Cricetulus griseus: one gene and its partner. The protein of the gene in region 2 interacts with the protein of the main gene of each other region in a pairwise test. Links are inferred from orthologs where the notes say so. Each region holds a gene or a part of one and is shown on either strand. Other genes may lie near its edges.

Region 1 (4,193 bases), on a different chromosome or scaffold from region 2:
GTGTGTGTGTGTGTGTGTGTGTGTGTGTGTGTGTGTGTGTGTGTGGTGTGAGCTGCCTCATCTGGGCGCTGGAAATTGACCTCTGGTTCTCTGAAAAAGTAGCAAAGCATTCTAATAGCTGAGCCCTCTCCAGTCCAGCAGCATGCATTTTTTTTTTTCTTCTTCATTCTAACTCCATTGTAACAATTCTTGTGTTTGACAGGTAAGTGACACAGGAAAATTGTGTTCATTCTAATTGGCTGCTGGATAACCAAGCAGAGCCAGGTCATGGGGCTTTATGAAAATATTTTGCACATATATGCATATAACAACACTTAGCAAAAAAGGAGGCCATGAGTTTGAAGAACAAGGAGGGATATATAGGAGTGTTTGGAGAGAGGAAAGGGAAAGGGGAAATGATGTACCTAAAATCTCAGAAAAACAAAAGAAGAAAATTTCTACTTGACTAACAAAGTTAGTTTTATAGTTTTTAATTGTACAACTGATTTGGTCCCTCAAGGTCCAAAATAAAATAAGGAAACCTCAGTGAAAGCAGCTGTCTTGGGAGGTTTGTGACATGTAGCCTGACTTTTCCCTCACTGCCTAAGGATGTCGGAACCCTGGCAGGGGTTCGGGCTGCATGCTGCATCTGACAATGAACAAGGACAGTAACTTCACGTTGGTCTCTTCCAAGGAGAAAACGGCACACAAAGGGTCTGCTTGCTTATTTAGAGGTAGAGTCTTGCTAGGCTGTCCAGGCTGGCCCCCTGCCTGTCTTCAGAAGTGAGGGATCACAGGGCCACCTCCTTTCATGGGCTCACGAGGTTTCTTAACATCCCCTGCCTGTTTTCAGTGGCTGAATGGCGTTATTTGTGGAGAAAGAAAAGTCAGCCAACTTCTGTTTGCGTGGGCCAAGGAGCTTGGACACACAAAGCAAGGAGCACAAGTATTTCAAATAACACAGCACCGGGTGGAGACACAACTTTCTGAACTCAGATGCAACTCGGCACAGACCCACGCATAACACATAGGACCCCTCCAGGCTCGCACAGGCCGGGAGAGGCCAGCTGAGTATTTGCTGCCGTGCGCTACGTGCGGCGCGCGCGGTTCTGGGAACGCGGCTGAGTCCCGCTGGCCCAGGGTTCCCTGACACCGGGCTCGCCTTCCAGCACGCTCCGGGCTCATCCAGCCCCGCGGTGATCACGTTCCGGGGACAGGGGCTCGTGGCCCAGCTGCGCGCTGGTTGGCCCTGCCGTCGGGCCGCTGATTGGTCCGAGGGGCCAGCTCACGTGGTCGGGCTCTGATAAGCTGCCTCCCGGCCCCGGCGGTCAGTCGGCGGGCTGGACCGTGGCCCTGCATGCACTAGGTGCTGGCTGTGAAGTTGCGCGGGGTGAGGTTATCGCGGTCGCCGCTGCCTCTCGGCCCAATGAGCTGCACCAGGTAGGTTCAGTGCAACTCTGCGCCCTAACGGAGGGGAACCTGCAGCTGCTGCAGGACGTTGGGCGCGGGGGGCGGGGGGGGGAGGCTCCTGTGGTTTTGTCTTTTCTGCAGATGGAGACCCCGGAGGCCTGGAAGGAGTGGAATTGAGTTGTACTTCTTAGAGCTTGTTTTGGGAGTCAGCACCCCAAAGCAGAAACTGCCTTAGCGCGAGTCAGCTATGGCTGGGATTCCCTTCTTGAAGTGACTCTGTTGCCTTTGAGCTCAAAGACCCAAGCACTTGAGGGCTGCATAGTTTGCACCCTGACATTGCTGTTGGGGTAGTTTAGGCTGTGGCAGAAGTTACAGGACGATTTTGCATTTATTCATTCCTCCCATTTGCCTATCCTGGTTTGCCATAGAATACTCAGTCTCAAGGTTTGAGCAAACTCTCATTTTTAACTCTTGCCCAATTCTAAAATTTACTATAAATGCAGACGTGAATAAACAAATAACAGCTCAGCAAAACAAAAACAATGAATAACAGCTCAATCAACCAAGCAACCGAGAACATCCCATGAAATTTAATTGCGTCTCCAAGTCGTGATGTAGTAAAAGAATTCTCCCTCCCCAAATCCTGCCTGTTAATGGTTGTTAGACAAATACACTTAGAGCTTTTGTCTGTCAGGAAAACTCCTATTAAATGAGTTCTGTATACATTCTTTACTGTCTGTGATGATGACCATTTGCCAGCGGGCTGTGCTTAGTGAGGCTGTGAAGAGAAATTCTTCAAGCCAGACTATGTCTGTCTGTCTATCTATCTATCATTTATTTATGCTCAAATATAAATACCACTTGCCCAAACAGTAGAAAACACCAAAGGAGCACAAAATGGGTAGATTGTGTAATTCTGTCCTGCAAAGAGAATTAACATTTTAGTCTTTTTCCCTGTGAAGTTTCTCAGTATTTATAAATTCTTATACCTACTATGTATTTTAAAACAGTTTAATTCTCAGATTATCAGTTTTTAAAATACATTTTATTTTGCATATATAATGTATACAGCGGGTTACAAGACAAATATAATAAAGTAGTTATTATTGAACAGAATGAATATGTCTATTACCTCAGCAGCCAGTTTTTCCATTTCCATGTGAATGTGTCATGAGTATCCCTCTGTATCCTTCTATATGAATGTAGGTTATTTAAAGGTTTTTTTTTTTTTTTCCTTTAGCACATGAGATGTTGGCTGGTGTTGCAGTTGGTCATTTCTGAAAAATTAGGATGAGCTTGATAAAATACAAAAGTCTTTCTGACTTCACATAATAACTACATGACATTTTAAAAATTGCTTCATTTGTCTCTTTTCAAGTGGATTATGTCTCCAGAGAAGTAAAACCGATTTAAGAGCCAGAATAAGAAACAGCAGCCAGAAGGAGCAAGAGGGTCTCTGTCTGGGACTGTGATTGTGGAGGAGCCTGTCTGGTCAATAGACTTGAGGAAGCTTTAAGTACATATTTACCTTGTTGGTGCCACACCATGAAGCTCCACTGATTTTTTTCCCCTAAAGCAAAGAAACTCCTTTAGTCACATTGACCTGACAGGTAGAAGAAGCACTGACCCAGAACAGAGCAATAATCCTCAGAGCTGTGTCAGACATCATCAGGTCCAACCCTCTTAGTTTTCAGATGGGGAAAGTGAACTACCCTGAGTGTTTCAGGTGGTTTACACCTGGTCCAATAGTCTGCCAAGCACAGAGCTAGTCTGCAGATCTAGTCACCTGCGTGTTCTCCTCGTCTTCGTGTGTTAACACCTCCCTGATTAGCTGTAACTGGTGCACATACATGTGGGACCAGGGCAAGACTACCCCAGCTGTTGGTGACCACCTCTCTTCCTTTTCCTTTCCAGAATGATCCATGTGCTGGATCCACGTCCTTTGACGAGTTCAGTCATGCCAATGGATGTGGCCATGAGAATTTGCTTGGCTCATTCACCACCCCTGAAGAGTTTCCTGGGTCCTTACAGTGACTTTCAAAGAAGAAATTTTGTGAATAAATTGAAGCCTTTGAAACCATGTCTCAATGTCAAGCAGGAAGCCAAATCCCAGAATGAATGGAAGCCCACAAATGACCAAGCCAAGAAGCGGGTTGTGTTTGCCGACTCCAAGGGGTTATCACTCACTGCTATCCACGTCTTCTCTGACTTCCCAGAAGAACCTGCGTGGGACCTGCAGTTCGATCTCTTGGACCTTAATGATATCTCCTCCAGCTTAAAACTTCATGAAGAGAAAAATTTGGTTTTCGATTTTCCCCAGCCTTCATCTGATTACTTAAGTTTCCGGGACCGTTTTCAGAAGAACTTTGTCTGCCTAGAGAACTGCTCTTTGCAAGAGCGGACAGTGACTGGGACAGTCAAAGTGAAAAATGTGAGCTTTGAGAAGGAGGTTCGGGTCCGAATCACCTTTGACTCCTGGAAAACCTACACAGATGTGGACTGTGTATACATGAAGAATGTTTACAGCAGCTCGGACAGCGACACCTTCTCCTTTGCCATCGACTTACCCTGTGTCATTCCCACTGAGGAGAAAATTGAATTTTGTATTTCTTACCATGCTAATGGGAGGGTCTTCTGGGACAACAATGAGGGTCAGAATTATAGAATTGTCCATGTACAATGGAAACCCGATGGGGTTCAGACACAGATGACACCCCAAGACTGTGCATTCCAACAGGTGGCGCCTAAGACTGAGTTAGAACCCCCAGTCTTTGGCAGTCCGAGGCTTGCTAGTGGCCTCTTCC
Region 2 (3,648 bases):
ATGTATGGACATTTTTGGTCCTTCTCTAAACACTATATTAGGCATTGTAAACAATTCAGAAGCTAACCATACAGAAGGAAGGATATATATGGTCTATATCTGAACATAATGCCATTCTATACAAAGAATTTATGCATCCTCAGATGTTGGTAATGTACATGTCAAGATCATGAAATCACCTTTGTAGCAGTAAGCTTTTCAGCCAGTGAGTAACAAGTTTGTACAAGAAGCACGAGAAAGCAAGAGCCTTTTAAACGTGCATATTTTTATTGGAAATTTTCCTTCTTAGGTAAATATTTTATTTTTGTCTAAATTTATAATTCTCTCTTCCCCAATACCTATCTCATGCACCAATCTTGACCCCCCCAAAAAAAAAACAAAAAACAAGCAAGCAAACAAACATCCCCCCAAACCCTAATGTATCCACTGCATTCATTCTTCACAGTGTGGGAGAATGCATACATACATACATACATACATACATACATACATACATACATACATACATACGAGAAAGGTCAACAAATGTTAGGTATCTTCCTCATCTCTCTCTCTCTCTCTTTTCTTTTTTTTTTGATAAAGGGTGATCAATGCACCTGAAATTCATTAACTGGCTACTGTGCTGTCCAGCAAACTCCTGTCCTGGTACCCCCTGTTTCTACCACCTTAGCCTAAAATTACAGGCACATGCCACTGTTGTACATGAAGTGGAGTCCAAACTAAGGTGATGCTTATACAGCAGGCAATTTACTCAGTCATCTTCCCAGCTTGCCACTCATTCTTTTAGTAGTTACACACGATCCAGTACATCACAGAAGAATTAACAACTTAAACATATGGACCAAGAATGGTGTAGCCTAAGCTTTCCCTTTCTTTTCTTTTTTAAGACAGGGTTTCACTGTGGCTTTAGAGGCTGTCCTGGAACTAGCTCTTGTAGACCAGGCTGGTCTCAAACTCACAGAGATCCACCTGCCTCTGCCTCCTGAGTGCTGGGATTAAAGGCATGTGCCACCACTGCCCAGCCTAGCTTACTATCTTGATATTCAGGAAGGAGAGGCAGGAAGACTGCAAGGTCAGGGTCTGCCTGAGCTATACAAGGAGATCCTGTCTCAAAAAAGACAGACAGACACTTATATTTCATGTCTTACCTGAAATGAACACATCAAAGTCTCATCCACACTCATCATACCGCCAGCATTGTCAAACTCGCCACAGTAATTCGGGGCAGAAAATAAGGTTACCAATTGTCGTTTAGCAAAAAATTCATATCCATCTTCTACCACCTGTCGAAGGAAATAAAAAATAAAAACACTCACTAGTAGGTAATTTTTAACTGATTAATGAAGCAAAGGCCAAATCCTCTCAAGTGCCAAGACCCTGGCTTTACTCAAAAATATAGTAAGAAAACAAAACAAAATGAATCTACACACACACACACACACACACACACCCTACCTTTCTTTTTTAAACCCACAAAACCAACCAGCAACAAAAAAGGAGGCTGAAGGGGCTGAGGCAATGCTTATCGGTTAAAGAGCACATGTTGCTCTTCCAGAGGACCTGAGTTCAGTTCCAAACATCAACAGTTAGCTCATAAACATCCACATTGCTAGTTCCAGAGAATCTGACACTCTTCTGACCTCTGTTAGGCATTAGGCATGCTTGTGGTGCAAGCACATACATGCAGGCAAAACATTCTCACACAGAAAAATAATACACACTTTAAAAAGCAAAATTAAGAGGGACAAAAGATAACTTTCAGAGTGTCTTCCAGTCAATGTATTACAAACCAATTATGTTTTACAGATCATGAGCACTGAGTATGCATTACTGAGAACAGTGAATACTCTTTTTACAGTATCAATAATGATTTGATCACAGCTAAAATAATTAACAATGTACTATTAAACAGTTGGTAATCACATCCCACAACTGCCTCAAAAATTTTTTCATAGCAGTTTGCTTTTGTCAAAAAACAATACCCACACATTTGAGGAACAGACTATGTGCTGGCCTCCTCATCCATTCTTTTCCCTATATAAACCACATTATCTTTTAAATTTTCAATTAATTACTCTATTTTTATGTGTATGGGTGTTTTGCCTACATGTATGTTTGTCCACCATTTGCATGCCTGGTGCTATTGAAGGCCAGAAGAAGCCGTCTGATTCTCTAGAACTAGAGTTTCAGACAGTTTTGCACTGTCGTTCGTGTGTGTGTGTGTGTGTGTGTGTGTGTGTGTGTGTGTGTGTGTGTGTGTGTGTGTGTGTCTGTGTGTGTGTGTGTGTCTGTGTGTGTGTGTGTGTCTGTGTGTCTGTGTGTGTGTGTGTGTGTGTGTGTGTGTGCGTGCTCTGTCTGACTATGAGTGAAAGTGTGTGAAACTAACAACAAAATGTTCAAGAGTCTTAACACTACATACCTGATGAGCTCGACAAATCAAGTCTAAATCATGACGATTCAGAAATTTACTGACTACATCAGCTCCAAAAGTAAAAGAAACACCACGATCATTTTCTCCCCAGCCTTGTACATCCTTATCTGGGTCAGACCACAGTAAATCACAAAGCAAACCTTTAGAAAACAGAAAAAACAAATCAATGAAATAGAAGAAAGTACAGAATAAAGCACATATATATTTCTCCTGCCTTGTTACATTTTAAACCATTCTTTGTTAAAGCAACCATATAAATATAGCCTCTCCTGGACTCCCAAGGCAGCACTTTCTGATGATTTCTGCATACACGAATAGTGTGTGGCACACTCAAGTATAATATCTGGAAGTCTCTGTTTAGTTTCTCACTATCATTCCCTGAATGTCAGCTTATCCATTTCTTACAATTACACTACTAAGCACCAGCCTCTTGCATTATTTATCATTAAGCCATGAAAACATAAACACTTTTAAGTTAAGATTTTATATCTGGCAGGCAGGGCTAGTCTTTCCCTGTAGTTTTTTCCTTCAGAATTATCCTGATCACTTTAGATTCTTTGTTTTCCCACTTTCTATCCTGCTTTTCTAATTTCTACAGTAATAAAACAATATGGTGAAGAACAAAATCAAATTAGATCCTTAATTTGAGAAATGTCTGTTTAAACCTAGGAAAAGATGTAAGGACTATATTATTCTATTTCTGAAGGCTGAACTCTTTGAACATCAAACACTGAAATAAACATTTTCAAAATCTCAGAAACTTTCCATTAAAATATCCCCCAAACCAAAACTTAGTATCAAATGTTAACTGGTGAGGGATGATACTAAAGTTTCTGAATGACTTCCACTAAATATAATTAGGTTCAAGCATGTCAACATTTTACATAAAGCAATTAACTATAAACCTCTGTATATACTTACCTGTATCAGGGACATCAGTGGGTCTCATAATTCTCCGAATCTGTTCCATAGACTGTAGATCTGGTGACAGTCCTATAAATAAAAAGAGAAAAACCTGATAATCTAGGAGAACATTGTAATAGTGTTGTCTTTTCTATCCTTCTACCAAGAAAATAAATTGTTACACCTTAAGAGATTCATGGAGGAACTCCACTATTTTCTTTCCAAATGCCCTTACCCTTCAAAAGTACACATTCAGTTGCAACCCTTCCTCCCTTCCTACTACTTTTGTATCTTCATGGCCACCAAATCTTAAA

What was found. The genes of interacting proteins can lie anywhere in the genome.
Region 1: the proteins of Ppp1cb (region 2) and Ppp1r3c interact in binary tests that used the Homo sapiens proteins (3 or more experiments, as listed by UniProt). The two-hybrid records come from large-scale screens. The link is inferred for Cricetulus griseus from reciprocal best matches to the Homo sapiens genes PPP1CB and PPP1R3C.

What each region holds. Positions count from the first base shown.
Region 1 is NC_048596.1:25,029,288-25,033,480, forward strand, and holds the start of Ppp1r3c (protein phosphatase 1 regulatory subunit 3C), read left to right. Parts: upstream 1-1,308; 5' UTR 1,309-1,405; coding exon 1,406-1,419; intron 1,420-3,303; coding exon 3,304-4,193.
Region 2 is NC_048600.1:11,979,655-11,983,302, forward strand, and holds part of Ppp1cb (serine/threonine-protein phosphatase PP1-beta catalytic subunit), read right to left. Parts: intron 3,425-3,648; coding exon 3,353-3,424; intron 2,572-3,352; coding exon 2,420-2,571; intron 1,284-2,419; coding exon 1,149-1,283; intron 1-1,148. UniProt on the Homo sapiens protein: Protein phosphatase that associates with over 200 regulatory proteins to form highly specific holoenzymes which dephosphorylate hundreds of biological targets.